Alligator mississippiensis: one gene and its partner. The protein of the gene in region 2 purifies or fractionates together with the protein of the main gene of each other region. This does not show direct contact. Links are inferred from orthologs where the notes say so. Each region holds a gene or a part of one and is shown on either strand. Other genes may lie near its edges.

Region 1 (7,846 bases), on a different chromosome or scaffold from region 2:
GTCCTGCACCCTCAGACTGGGCTGGCTCTGTGCCTCCAGGTGGTGCTTCTGCCACTTCTAGCTGGGAGTGGCACATGGAGGCATGAAGCCAGAGTCCTATGAGCTCCCTGCAGCAGAGCAATCACCAGCGGGGTATGTGTGTGTGCATCACTGTTCTTACCTGAGTTTCCACTCTTGGACTGAGGGAGAGCAGGGGAACAGCAGCAGGGTCCCAGGCCAGAAGTCTCTGCTAGGCAGAAGCTTCTGGTGGGAGCTAAGGGTAGGGTGGGGTGTGGGAGTGCCGGGTGGGTCTTGCTGCTGGGTCCTCCTGCCCATCACTGGCGCCTCATCGGCTTTTAGATAGGCAGTCACCAGCAGGCAATAATTTTCTAAATTTTAGAGGAACCCCACAAGCCAGATAGAATGGCCTGATGGGCCAGATCTGGGCTGCAGGCTGGATTTTCTCTGTTCCTATGATAAGCCCTTAATGCTCCTTCCTTTATCAGTGTTGAGACACCCTGTTGCCAGCTGGCCAAGTGAGCGATTCACACCTGCACAAAATCCATCTGGCCATTTGCATTTCTAAGGCTGACACTGCTGTAATCAAAACCAGGGTCTCTAAGGGTTTCTGCTTTAGGTTTCAAAGTCCTCTCAGTAAAAGTCTGCCTATGGCAGCTTGGCATGCAAGTTATACCACTTTCCAGAGTTGCATAAGTGCTTTATACCCACTGCAGTGTGCCAGTAATGCCTTTGTAGATGCTTAGGAGCTATACTGAAACCAAGTGTTCCCACAGAATTGAACATTTAATTTTTTACATCTTCTGCTTTGTGGGGATCACCGTGACTGGAAGCTCCCCCCCCACACATGCATAGTCCCCCACTTGAATAGCCTACCATGTTTTGAAACATTTCTGTTCCTACTAGGTAACCTTAGCAAACCTGCAGGTATGGCTGCAGGCTGACCTCATGCTTGGAAGGTGCCTGTTTTGCAGTCTCCCCATCTCACAGTTCTTGACAAACACTTTCCTACTATCCTCCCACTCAACCCCAGTAATTCTTGCAGTTAGCATTGATAGATGGACACAGTGGTCCCTGGTCCAAAAAGAAGGTCTGGATTTCCTTGGTGATGCAGTATGAGTGCAAATACAGCATTTCTGAAGGAATTGAGGCAGTTTATGTGGAAGAGGCAGAAATTGAGGTACAAGAGTGGTGAGTTCAGGCCCAGGCACAGGAGAAGGAAATCCAGAAGACTTTACCAAGAGACAAAGGAGCCCAGCAGAATGTGCCATGCTCTCACCAGAGGCACTGCTACTAGTTAAAACATAATGCTAAAGGGAGTAGGAACCACTGATTTAACATGGGGAAGAACTGCACAGTGATAACTTGCTGATTGAGGAATGGGGGATGTGGACAATGTGGTGCCCAGAGACAGGCATGAGACAAGGTCATAGAAACTACTACTGCCTGTAATCAGTCCTTACTAGGCTTACTTGAGGATGCCCCCACCTGCTCCCACATGACTACAGGGTTTGTAAAATACCCCCTTAAATGCCAGCAGTGTGCACCAAGGGCAGTGAGTCTGTCCCTGTTCATTTTTGTGTAGATCTATAGGAAAAATAATAGGAAAGAGCAGGCATCCAATGATCACTGTCAACTAACCTATTAATGCTAACAGCAGATGTTTGGTGATATATCGGTAGCTTAAGCTGGGATACTTTTGCAGACCCCCTTTCCATACTGCTGAAAGACTGACTGTGATAATGAGTCAAGAACAATGAACAAGATATGTGTTCTTGGAGCTACTGGAGAAATTTGGATCTAGAGGCCAGGGAATGGAGAGAAAAGCATGCTGAAGAAAGTGTAGGAAGCCCACAAGGTGCATTGAATTGCAGTCTATGCAGAACAATGTATCTGAAGTCCTATGGTCTGGCCGTCGTCATGCTGTGTGGATGATTCCTTCCTCCTTTGGCCTGAGGTGTATACTTCCCTTCCAGACCCCTCTGTGGCCTGCAATAGTTTCTCATGCAGTGGATAAGGAGAGCTGCTGTCCAGCCCAGGAAACCAAACTGTGATGCAACCCAGAGTGGTCAGCACCTTGTGCTTTTTTTGTCATGCTAAAGTCCTATTTTGTGAAAACCCATGAGTGTTTTGTTTCCATGAGCAGAGAGGTAGTTAGCCATATTAGTCTGAAAACAGGCAGAAGGCAGGGAATCTGTGCACCTCATAGACCAACTAAATCAGAGATCTATAACATAAGTTTCATAAAACCAAGCTCACTTGTTCAGATGCTGATTAAGTGATCACAGCATCTAATGAAGTGAGTTTGGGCTTACAAAAAAATTGCACTATATAGATCTGATTTCATTTATGAGGTGCAAATGTACCCTGTATTTTTTCTCAACACAATGGAGCTGTAGCTCCACCCCAGGTTCAATAACACCATACCAAATTCTAAAGTGTAAAACAATTCAGAACCTGGCTGTGTACTTTACCTTAAAAAATAAGATTACTGGCTGTGTCACACAATCAAAGGGCGTTTTAAGGCCTTCCTCATCTGTACAGCACCTCAGTGGGTGCTAGTAATTGCCCTTGAAATAGGCTGCTCAGAATCAGCAGTTTCCACTTCCTGTTTCCATTCTTCTATAATGCTTCACTTCTAGCCTTGCAAATATTATGCAGAACACAACATGCAATAAAAAACGGCTAGTCTAGAGAGCTAATCTAGTTCTAAGACACGTTCACTATCCTTTTATGCACACTACAGTAGAAGTTTTGCCTTTTCGGAAAAAAAGATTCTAGTTTTAGTAGGTCTGAGGATGTCGTGTCCGCATGTGAACTACCGTATGTAGAAACCAGGAATTATGCTGTGCTTCTGGCCTTGTTACTACAAGAAAAAAAATCAGGAGCTGAAATTCATACATGTCCATCCCTCTGTGGTAGCAGTGTGAAGGCCTTAACATACAAGGATTCTTTCTCTACAAGTAGGAGAACATGTATCTTTATTTAAAAAAAAAGGCATTGAACAGAGCTTTTAGAATCTGGGCAGGATGGGAGAGGACTTCTGCAGACGTGTTGCCTGCAAAGCCATACAGGCAGCTGTGCAAATGGGATGCAGTTCTCTTTCTGATCCTTGCAGGCAGGGTAGGAGGTTTATTTTCTTTTTAGGAAGGAAATAAATAGTTCCTTGATCCAGGATCTCTGCTTACCTTGTTCTACTTGTATTTAAAACAAACAGAAAAGAGGGCATTTAAATGATCAACTAACAGCCCATTGAGAAGAAGAGCATAACAGCTCATGCTATTCTCTAAAATGCAGTTTCTACCACATTGGTATGGCTATAACTGTGGAAAATCAATGTCCTTTTTTGTCACTACAAAAGCAGTCTCTGCATGTTGCTTATTCTGATTCAGCTTCAAGGAAGTTAACAATATTTGAACCCTTCTCTAGATGCTTTAAGCCTTTCAAAAACATCATGTAACTGAGTTACATACAGTTATCTGCACTCTTCTAGCTCCTTAGCTTCAGGGGCATAAAAGAACAACTAATTTCTGGGGACCTTTTGTTCCCAATTACAGCAGGGATTTACATGCCCTGCACTACACACAGGAACTGCACTGTGCACTGGGCTCCGCAATACTAGATATGTGGGAGCTCCTTGGAGGCAGGGGCAGGGATCGTACTCTTTGAACCCTTGGTAGAGAACTGGCTGTGTTATCTTGCAAATCAAGGGAAGCGATTCTTATGCTCTATTCCACACTCATGAATTGTGTCCAGTTTTGGGCCCATGCTTCAAGAGGGATGCAGAAAGATTGAAAGGGTTCAGTGCAGACCAACAGAAATGATCAGGGGCTTGGGAGACGAGACCTATAAGGAAAGGCTGAAAAAGCTAGTCTGAAGGGAAGATTGAGAAGGGATTTGATAACAGCCTTCAAATACCTGCAGAGCAATTATAGAGAGGATGGAGATAGGCTTTTCTCTGTGGCTGTAGGGGTCAGGATTAAGAGCAACAGCCTCAAGCTGCAGGAGGGGATATTTAGGCTGGAGACTGGGAGGAGCTGCCTGACTATGAAGGGGGTCAGGCATTGCAACAGGCTGCCTAGAGAAACTCTGTAACCTCCTCCACCCCTGGAAGTTTTCAAGAGCAGGTTGGTCAGACACTTGGCAGGGGTGGTTAGTCAGGGCTGATCCTGCCTTGAGCAGGGGCTGGAGTAGATGACCTTGTGAGGTCCCTTCCACCCCTCCTTTCCTATGATCTTGCTCAGTAAGTGGAGGTGAACATCCTTGTGGGCTGCAGGTGGCTTGTGCACAGCATGGCTCACAAGTGCCCCAAGCAAGGGGTGGATCCATGGGGTGGAGGTGCAGTGGTGCACTTGCACCCCACCTTTGGATCCACCCAAAGTTTAAAACCAACTGCCTGGGAGGGACAACTGCATTTCTATTCAGGAAGTGCTGAAAGAGTCAACTGACTTCATGGCTTATTATCATCTCCCTCTCCTCGATCTCTCCCCCCCCTACTGCCACCCTTGTTTGCTTTCCTGCAGAATTGCACCCTGGGGTGAGTAAAGCTCCTAGTTCCCCCTCCAGGCCTGAGCAACGCCCCGCGCATGCGCTAAAGCCACCCCAGCGCCCACTTCGGATTCTCCCGCCAACACGCCCCGAAGGGCGGGGCCGCTGCGCACAGGACGCGCCAGCTGCCTGACGCGTCCATGAGCCGCCACATGTGGGGGGGAAGGGGAATGTTCCATTCCCCCTCCTGCTCATACCATTTGTCCTCGCTAATGGCGCCGGTGGGGAATGGAACATTCCGAGTCGCTACCCCCCCCACTCACTGTGCTCCATGGGCCGGCCCGCGCATGTGCAGTGCGGGGAGAAGGGTGAGGCGACGCGGGACCGCTCAGTCGGCGTCCGGCGGGAGATGCGAATGGAGGGTTCGAGCTGCGCCCCCCGCGCCATGGCCTTCCGCCCGCGCGACAGCGACTGCAGGTCGGGGGCAGGCAGCGGCCGGGCCCTTCCCGCGGGGGGCGGTTGGGGAGGCGGGAAACGTGGGTGGGGAATGGGGGCTCTCTGACGCTTGTCCCGTCCCCGCAGCCCCCCGGCGCCGCCGCGCTGGGCCCACGGCAGGAAGCGCGGAGCCGACGGGAAGCAACGGACGCCGAGCGGGCCTGAGGACGAGGACCAGCCGCGGGCCAGGCCGGCGGGCGGCCGCGCCGAGAGGTGGGTGCTCCTCGGGGCCGGTCTCCCAGGGGGTCGGGTGGCTGCACAGCGCAGCACAATAGGAAACGCCGCCGGGCGGGAGCGAGGGGCCTGTTTATCCGAGCGGGACGCGGGATGGGACCAGTGAAACGGGCCGGGGGTGTGAGCGGAGGGACAAGAAGACCCTGCAGTCCTCCTGCCCGGAGCCGCCTCCCTGTTGGATATGTCACAAGCGTACGCGGGGCCGGGAGCGGGTCGGGTATCTCGCCAGCATCGCCAGGGCCAGGAGTACCGGGGGAGGCTGTACATAAAATGGTGGGAGGGGGCGGGGGGAGGAGTCCTGTGGCCAGGAGCTCAGCAGGAGGCTCTGCAGGAGGTGGCGAAGGGGCCGGGACCCAGGAAAGACGGGCTGGTTTGGCAGCGCGCCGCGGAGAACGGAGGCTGATGGGCTGCCTGCTGCTTGCAGCCCGCACCTCGCGTAGCCCCGGGCGGCGGGCTGTACCCCCCTTGTAAACATCAAGGGCCAGTTGTGAGCCCGGTGCCCCTCAGTCCTGACCCGTTGCCCCCAGTGTGGGGCACGGAGCCCCGGCCAGGCTGGGACTGGGCAGCCTGCAAGGGGGAAACTCACTGATTTCCCCACCTTTTTCTCCTTTTAAAAGAGAATCCATTTTTTAAAGCTTGCTGATCCATTTTTTTTTTTTTTTTTTAAGCTTCTCTGCAACCCTTTCCTATATTCATGGGACCCACTTTTGGTTTGTGAGAGGTGGGTTGAGAGACACTGCTCTAGGGGCCCTGCTGCACCTTCAGATGAAAGCTGAGTAGCTGTTGAGCTGTTCTGTATTTAATAGCAGGAATGGGCCTTTTAATCATGTGATCATGACTTTGTACATGTGGCCTGTCTAAATTTTTTGGGCAATTGGCCAGTTAATTGTATAATGCTGAGGCCTAGCAGTAGATGGTCACCTTGCTGGGGTCACCTGACCCCCAGTTGTTTTTCCTGCTTGGTGCAGGGGGCTTGACCCCATGATTTTCTAAAGTCCTTTCTGGCCCTACAGTCTATAAATCTATATGAAGTTGGGTAGGGGGAAGTGGGGTGCTTGGTCAGGCATTATGACCTTACAGCCACAGCTGTTCCTTTCCCACTGCTCAACTGACAGGGGCAGAGTTCCCCGTCTGCCAAGGTGACTGCAGCACAACGTGATCCAAATGCCAAACCTGGCTCTGGGCTAGTGAAGAGTCCAGTGTTGATATATGCTAGATTTACCAAGACAGGAAACCCTGTTTTCTTCTCTTTGCTTATGAAATCTTATGTACCCGTTTAGGTACCATATTGCAGGAAAAAAATTATAGTTACCTAGCAAACATCTTCATGAATGTGCTCAGAGTTGAGGCACTGTTTCTGTTGCCAGTATAACATTAAGCACATTGCTACTCCATTCTTGCAATCGGTGGCTTCTGTTTTACTTGCTGGGGCTGGCATATAAATAAGAAGCTACACAATTGAAGCTTAACTTCACTTTGAAAAGTGACTAGTATTAGTTCTGTGGTGTTGTCCAGGTGGCCTGTGCATCATAGCCTCAGACATGCTCAATTAACAGAAAAGATGTTTGTTAACATTAGGGATGTGAAACAAGCTGTTAGACTATAATTATATTTAAAACATTAATTGCAATGCATTAATAGTAAACATGGGGCTCAGCCTGGTGGTGAAGGGAAGTGGCCCAGTGCCCCAAGAAGGTGACCAAGCAGGCACTGTGGCTGCCTCATCTGCTTGTCCCTGCTTGCCCCTGCATGAACTCTCTTCAGGAAAAATTGGGAAAAACAGCGCAGCTTTTACTACTGACTGTACTGTCATCTGCCACCACTGAGAATAGGTCCAGCTCCATCATCTTTGGAACCACCCTTCAGGGAGTTGACAGCTGCTGTTAAATCCCCTCTCAGTCTTCTTTTCTCCACACTAAATGAACCCAGTTCCCTCAGCCTTTCATCATAAGTCATGTGTCCCAGCCCCTGAACCATTTTCGTTGCCCTCTGCTGGACTCTCCAACTTTTTCCACATCCTTTCTGTAGTACAAGGCCCAAAACTGAATACAGTACTCCAGATGTGGCCTCACCAGTGAATATAGAGCAGAATAATCACTTCCCTTGACCTGCTGGCAACTCTCCTACCAATGCAGCCCAGTATGCTGTAAGCCTTCTTGGCAACAAGGGCGCATTGCTGGCTCATATTCAGCTTATTGTCCACTGTAACCTCCAGGCCCTTTCCTGCAGAGCTGCTGCCCAGCCAGTCAGCCTGTACTGGTGCATGGGATTGTTCTGTCCTAAGTGCAGGACTTTGCATTTGTCCTTGTTGAACCTCATGAGATTCCTTATGGCTTAATCCTCCAATTTATCTAGGTTACTTTGAATCCTGGCCTTACCCTCCAGTGTATCTACTACTACCTCTTTTCCCCCCCCCCCCCCCCCCCCACATGCTGTCATCTGCAAACTGGCTGAAGGTGCAATCTGTCACATCTTCTAGATTTGTTAATGAAAATATTGAACAAAACCAGGCCCAGGACTGACCCACTCCACTTGATACCAGCTGCCAACTAGACATTGAGCCATTGATTACTACCCTCTAAGCCCAATGATCCAGCCAGTTTTCTATCTACTGTACAGTTCATTCATCCAG
Region 2 (7,480 bases):
TTCATGTCATTTACATTTTTTCTGATTCAAAATTCACAGCTCTCCAAAATTATGAAGAGGTCTGTGAGAAATGGATGATTTTGCAGTCTGCAAATGACAATACAAAATCCTCCAAAACCTTTGGATTACCAGGTGAATCTGTTCCAGACTTACAATGTGCAAAACTACTCAACCTGATGGCTGACCAATGGCCTAAATGAAAAGAGTTGTTGGTCCTGAGCTCCGAGAGGCCCAGTCTCTAGGCCATGAAGCCACCCCACAATTATCCCCTTTCTTGGCAAATCTCAGAAGTCGAGGCTAGAAGGGACAATGGAAACTGAACTAACCTTTCAGATGTAAAGGGGCTTTCTTCAGAAAGCAGCTGAGGTGCATTCCAAGGAGAGAGCATGGAAGAAGCCTGCACTTGCAACTGCCCATGTTCTGCATGTTGTGGATACATGGTGTTTCATTCTTTTACTGCTCTTGGACTCATGCCTTTCACCAGAATAAAATCCTTAAAAACAAAAAAACCCAACAACACAAGGTCAACGTGGTGGGAAAGTTCCTTATGATAAGCCTAGAGTTGGCTCCACAGAGAGCAGGACTTTTGTTCACAGCTCTAAACTGGCTGAGACACATTTTCATAGATCAGTTTTACCTACCTGCTCAGATGTCACCGACTTGCACCATCCTTGGGCCCACATATGTATGCAGTCTTCCACAAACCTGTCTTCAGTGAAGATGCTTCAAAGTTTATGACTGAGCTTTCATGTTTCATTCTTGCTAACATCATCCAGAGCTTCGTGACTGAGATGGTTATAAGATAGGAGGACTCTGAGGACCCAGATAATTATCCTCCTACTATTACTGATACACAGATCAAGATTGATTTGTTCCTTGCTTTTGCAGAATAGGGAAACTGTAAATTTTAGAGAAGCGGTGTAAGGCTCAGGGCCGGGGAGTCTCCTTCCCAAGAACTCTTTCATGACAGCCAACAAAACAGAAAGTACCGTGACACTGGACCCAATGATCTCATTTTATAAGGTTTTTTTCCATGGGACACTAAAAATAATGAGAATATTAAGACAAAAGAAGATACCTTTGAGGATAACTGAAAATAACTCTTCACTTGATTTTCTATTTATCACACAAACACTTGCAGATTAATTCAGGTGGGCTGTAACTACTGTTGAGCTGTGGAAGCTCTGTGGAATGACTTAGACTTGTGCCCTGGCACAGGATAGCGGCAGGGGCTGTGATCACAGTCAGCTTTCCATTCTTGCCCTTAATGGTTCACTTCACTAACCTACTTTAGTGTTCCGGCTCTGTTTCCACGAGTGGGGATTCCCTTGGATAACTGGCAGATTTAAGAACTCCTTATTAATCCTCCCCTTCATTAAAGAAGTCAGTGACAAGACTGTATAAAGGGGTATTAAGGGATATATAATTCATAAGCAAGTTTTCTCCAATTTAAGGTTCCAGGTTTAGCCGATTCCTCTCATGGCTCACTGGTAAATAGGCCCCAAGTTGCCCTTAGATGCTAAATAATATCACTTGATAAAACTGGATTAAGGGGCAGTTCTTTTATCATCAACCAGATAGATTTGTCTATTCAAGGAACATTTACATATTTATATGTGGATCACAGTCCTGGAAAGCTAGTTAGGAAGACCAAGAACTGCCCATAGTGGAGGGCAAGGTGCTAGCTACTAGGTCACAACTGTAAATGTGGACAATTTTACATTAGGCCTAGAGCATACTCCGCTTCTTCAAGGGCACTCAGAACTAAAGGTGAAATCAAACAATGTGTATATAGAAATATTAGCCCTCTCAGCTTCTCTACTTTTTTTTTTCTACATATGATTGGTATAGGATAGTCCAACGAGGAGGAAGCTTCAGAAAATAGAAGGTGCAATTTTCCATTCTACATCAATGCTTCTAGTGGACCGTTGCATGCCTGCGCGTCTGTTCCTGGGATTCATTCTACAGGGAAAACAGGGACAAAATAAAGGCTATGTGTTGAAGGAAATATATACCCATCTTCAGTAGCTGTGAAATCACTTTTTTTTTTTTTTTTGGGGGGGGGGGGGGAGAATGACCATCTCCAGCTTTCCATTTCATTTTGCCACAACCAACTTGAAGAAGTTAGTTTAGAACAGCTCTGAATTTTGAACTAGTAAAAGGCAATGGGATGAAAACACCCAAAACCAAAGTCCTCCGTGTCTTCACAGAATTCCCATGCATCTTCTCAAATGTCCCTCAGCTTGGACCTGGCAGGACCATTTCTGAAGATGAGCAGAGAGCTCAATTTCTACAGCATATCCAGTTACAGACCCTCTTGTGCAACTGTTTGCCAAATGTGCAAATAGCACAGTAAACAGTAACAAAACTTGATCATTCTCAATCACAGCCAAATTTCCAATTAGTACTTGATACTCCTCAATCCCCATATGTCTCAAAATGATTTACAATGATTAATTAATCTTTACATTTTAGTGTGAAATGGGTATTTTTATTTCTAATTTACAGATAAGAAACTGAGGGAGGAAAAGAGGAAATTAACCCAGGAGTTGTACTTCCCAAACTCCTGGTTAACCACTACACCACACTCTCCTAGTGATGTGGGAACAGATTCAGGGAGCCCTCAATCCCAGTGTCCTGCTCTAGCCATTTGGACCCCACGTCAAGTGGGCAAGGTGGCTTTTGACATGTAACCTGGACACGGGGATGTGATCAGTCTATTGCAAACAAGGGCAGGTAGGCAGCCAATGCACGGATACAGCATTCATCCACTCTGGATACAAAGTCTTGATAAGAAAGGGAAGGTGGAAAATCTTGCACCCCTGCAGCAGTGAGTCTCAACCAGGGTACAATGGCACCCTGGGGTGCTCCGAGATCCTTTCAAGGGTGCCACACAATGCTAGTACTGTTAGGTGTGCAAACACGACTCTCATGATAAACCCAGACAATCCAAATAGGAGTCCATAGCGCTAAAAACACTCTCACCTGTTGCCATCTTCTGGAGTTCTTTGCAACGGAAAAATTGCAGTCAAAAAAGGAGCGAGAACTAAGCTAGCATTATCCGAGGGCGGCTTTGAGTCTAACGGGGGTGGGTTGAGTCTAAAAAGGTTAAGAACCCTGTCCTAAAGGAAACAGGTACAGAGATTTCTTCTCTAGCGACAGCCTGATAACCACAAACCACTGAAAAATAAGGCTGGAAGAGCTCTCAAGGGCCACCTGGCGCCGTTTGGGATCGTCTGGGCCTGTCTGCACCATCCCCGGCGAACGCTCACCAACCGGCACTGGAGGTCTCACAGCCGCGCTCGGGGCTCTCGGACACACCTCAGTCGGACGCTGCTCTCATGCCCCGGGTGCAACCCACTCGCCCTGTCCCGTCCCGTCCCGTCCCGTCCCCTGCGACGCTCGCATGGCTGTGCCCCGTCTCCTCTGATGCAGGTTAACTCCCAGGACCCCCCGCCTGTCCCCACAGGGCCGGGGCTCACACCTCTGCGCAGTGCTACTGCCACGGGAGCCCCGCCTGCCCGCCCCACCCCTGCAGGGACACAGCCCTCGCTGGGGGGCACCGGAAGACCCCCCCCCCCAGTCACTGAGGGGCAATAACAGACCCCCTCCCTCCCTTCACCTCACTGAGGGGGCAATAACAGACCCCCCCAATCACTGAGGGGGCAATAACACCCCCCCCAAGTTACTGACGGGGCAATAACAGACCCCCTCCCTCCCTTCACCCCACTGAGGGGGCAATAACAGACCCCCCAGTCACTGAGGGGGCAATAACAGACCCCCTCCCTCCCTTCACCCCACTGAGGGGGCAATAACAGACCCCCCCAGTCACTGAGGGGGCAATAACAGACCCCCCTCCCTCCCTTCACCCCACTGAGGGGGCAATAACAGACCCCCTCCCTCCTTTCATGTCACTGAGGGGGCAATAACAGACCCCCAGTCACTGAGGGGGCAATAACAGACCCCCTCCCTCCCTTCACCCCACTGAGGGGGCAATAACAGACCCCCCCAGTCACTGAGGGGGCAATAACAGACCCCCCTCCCTCCCTTCACCCCACTGAGGGGGCAATAACAGACCCCCCCAGTCACTGAGGGAGCAATAACAGACCCCCTCCCTCCCTTCACCCCACTGAGGGGGCAATAACAGACCCCCTCCCTCCTTTCATGTCACTGAGGGGGCAATAACAGACCCCCCCAGTCACTGAGGGAGCAATAACAGACCCCCTCCCTCCCTTCACCCCACTGAGGGGGCAATAACAGACCCCCTCCCTCCTTTCATGTCACTGAGGGGGCAATAACAGACCCCCTCCCTCCCTTCACCTCACTGAGGGGCAATGACAAACGGCGCTTCTCCCCCCTCCCCTCAGCGAGCCTTAGACCCCGCCCTCCCCCCGCAGGTGTGCGTGCTACGTCACGGGCGCGGCGTACGTGGCGCGCCGCGTCGGCGCTGGCGTGCGTGTGTCGTCACGGCGGGGCCTGGCGCGCGGCGGCCGCACGGTTGGGCTCGGGCGCGCGGCGGCCGTTGGCTCCTTGTCGCGGGGCTCGCGCGCGGCCTGTTCCTGTTCCCGTTCCCGCCGCCTCCGCCTCCCTCCGCCTCCGCCTCCCGGGGCCCAAGCGCGGCGTGCGGTGCTGTGCGGTGCGGTGCGGTGCGGTGCGGTGCGGTGCGGGCCCCGGCCCGGCCCGGCCGGCCGCCGCCATGAGCGTGGAGGCGTACGGCCCCAGCTCGCAGACGCTCACCTTCCTGGACACGGAGGAGGCCGAGCTGCTCGGCGCCGACACGCAGGGCTCCGAGTTCGAGTTCACCGACTTCACCCTCCCCAGCCAGACGCAGACGCCGCCCGGGCCGGGGCAGCCGGGGCCGGGGCAGGGCCCGGGCGCGGCCGGCGTGGGGCAGGGCCCGCCGGGGCCCATCGAGGCGCAGGTGAGCCGGGGGATCCCTCTCCCCAAGCACGTGGCGGCGGGCGGCGGGGAAGTGCAGCCGTGGGGCTGGGGCCGGCCCAGCGCCGGCGGGCGAGCGGGCGAGAAGTGTCACCAAACGCACGACTCGGCACCCCCAAAGCGCCGACCCCAGAAGCCGGGGCAGCAGCTCGCGTGTCAGCCTGGGCCGGTTCCTTGGGCAGACGCAGAAACTATTGTGGCAAGAACTACACCGCGCCGCAGCTTCGTTCCTTCAAAGACAATATAAACCAAGCGTCCGTCTTCCACGGAGCGGGAAACGGCTCCGGACCGCGTTCCCCCGCTCTCTTATTAAACCAGCGAAATAGCTGGGGGGGGAAAGGTCTTTGCGAGCGTGCGGGCGCAGCCCCCTTCGTCCGGCGTAGGGAGTCTGCGCGGCGCGCGATCGTCTTCGAGGAGCGGAAGAGGCTAAAAGCGTCCGTGAGAGCGCGTACATAGGTAGGAATTAGGGAAAGAAAAGGTAAAGGGACAGGTGGGGAAGGAGTCAAAGGTGAGTAAGGGAGACTTTAGGGCCCAACGTCAGTCGGGAACGTGAGTGATGTTCTTCCCCGGGGCGCGGCGGGTCTGCTGCTACCTGGGGCTTCGGCCTGGGCTGGGGAAGGAAGAGGAGGGAGGATTTGAGTTGGGGTCGGACCACCGCAGAAGGAAATATAATCGTTGAGGATCGCAGCTGCCTCGGCGGCGCGGCTCGGACGCTTGGAAAATTGCATTAGAAAGAAAAACGGCGGTTTCATACGTCGGGGCCGCAGCGTCTTATCCAGGCCGCCCATCCCCGTGTGCGTGTGGGGTCCTGCTGCCCTGCAGCGAGCTGTTTGCAAACCGTGGGGACATTGAAATGCAAGTTTTAAAAGTGAATCGCAATGCTGGTAAAGCCCAGAATCGGCTCTAGCAGGTGAAGTACGTTTCATTTTGGGTTGCGTTCTTGCTCGGACTGTGCTCCTGCTGCCAATGCATCAAAGGCAGAAGTGGGAGTGCAGGTCCCTGCGTTGGTTTTAGCTGCAGTTGTTGGTGTCGGTAGCAGAAACCCAGGCCCCTGAACTCGGGTCTTGACAGGGATTTCTCAGTTCACCTTTGTGTCTTTTTCTTGTGCGTTTATTTGGATGTCAAATCCGTGCATTCAAACCCGGGTGCCAGAAAAGCACGCACGGTGACAGGACGGCTTGTCTGGTAGGGCAAAAAATAAACTTTTTTTCCAAGCGGTACACAGGTTTGATCTCATCAAAACCCCGCGTGTGCCAGGCCTGCGAGTGTAACCGGGTTGTGTTGTCCTGTGTGTATAGACATAGTTTCATAGCATACGCGGGCACCGTGCTTGTACCGTGTATCGTCCTGTCATAAGTTTCTAGGAGCTGTCACGCCACTTCTACATTTTCTTTGGTGGTTTGCTCACATCTGGCGGCGCTGCCTCGTGATTTTCCTGGTTGAGTGCCGTACCAGTGTTAAAAGTCTCTGCCTCGGGATTAACACTAAAGGCATTTTCCTGTTTTGAAAGGAACACGTAAAGAAGATATTGAGGTAGCGAGGATCATCTACCCCCACTCAAGGGAAGATCTTATTTTGGAGTTTTATCAACAAGCTGCTGAATAGTTTTCAAAACTGGCAAAACAAGCATGAAGAAAAGCACTTTTTTTTTTTTACCAAGACTATATTTTTTCGCTGTTCTGTAGGCAGTATAAACCATAGTGTATCTCAGACCACGTTTGCTTTGTCTTTGCAGTTTCGGTACATATCTGTCCAGACTTGTGCATGTTAGCAGACCCAACTTGCGACCGTGTAGGAAATGGCACTTTCCCACATGAGGGCTTTCTTCCTGTGGCAGGCATTAAGCTGAGCACTTTGAAAGGCGTTGAAGTCGACTAGTGTCCCACTAGCAAGGGAATAAGGGGTCAGTGGTGCAAAAGTGATGGCCATACAGTTTCTTTCTTCACAGGTCAGCTGATGCGGCCCTTTTCTAAAGCCTGTATGTAAATCAGCCTTTCTGCACACACTGCTACACTCCTGATCTTCTAACTGCAGCTGTCTTACCTCTGTTTCTCACCACCTACTTCCTCTTCTCCCTTTCATGTTCTTCAGGGCCCTCTCCAGGCAGAGATTTAAAATAGCTGCTTTTGGCACATTAGCTGATATGCCCACTGACAAGTTTTTTAAAGTCTACTGTAGAGGAGGGACACGGCTCAACTCAACTGCTAATATGCTCAACTGGTTGAAAAACTGCTTGGCAGAGGCTAGCCGGATAGGGCTGTAGTCTGGAGTGTGGGAGACTCGGGTTTGGTTTCTTGCGCCTCCAGATCTCTTACGTGATCATGGGCATGTTACTCGGACTCTGTGCCTCACTTTTCCCGTCTGTAAAGCGGGGAACTCTGAAATGCACTGCCCCGTAAGACACTGAGGGTGGACAGGCATTTAGAAAAGCGCTTGTACTCTAAGGTAAGGTAACAGATGGAAAGGGTGCCGTGCTTCCTGTCTACGTGAGTCTTCTAAAAGCACACGGCCTGAAATGCTGACAGCACACCGTGCAGTCTAG

Evidence for each region. The genes of interacting proteins can lie anywhere in the genome.
Region 1: the proteins of UPF1 (region 2) and SLBP purify together in Homo sapiens (affinity purification with western blotting; 4 studies listed by BioGRID and IntAct, with this or other methods). This does not show direct contact. The link is inferred for Alligator mississippiensis from reciprocal best matches to the Homo sapiens genes UPF1 and SLBP.

Annotation. Positions count from the first base shown.
Region 1 is NC_081825.1:17,630,682-17,638,527, reverse strand, and holds the start of SLBP (histone RNA hairpin-binding protein), read left to right. Parts: upstream 1-4,839; 5' UTR 4,840-4,894; coding exon 4,895-4,962; intron 4,963-5,067; coding exon 5,068-5,193; intron 5,194-7,846. UniProt on the Homo sapiens protein: RNA-binding protein involved in the histone pre-mRNA processing.
Region 2 is NC_081839.1:1,283,017-1,290,496, forward strand, and holds the start of UPF1 (regulator of nonsense transcripts 1), read left to right. Parts: upstream 1-4,475; 5' UTR 4,476-4,696; coding exon 4,697-4,921; intron 4,922-7,480. UniProt on the Homo sapiens protein: RNA-dependent helicase required for nonsense-mediated decay (NMD) of aberrant mRNAs containing premature stop codons and modulates the expression level of normal mRNAs.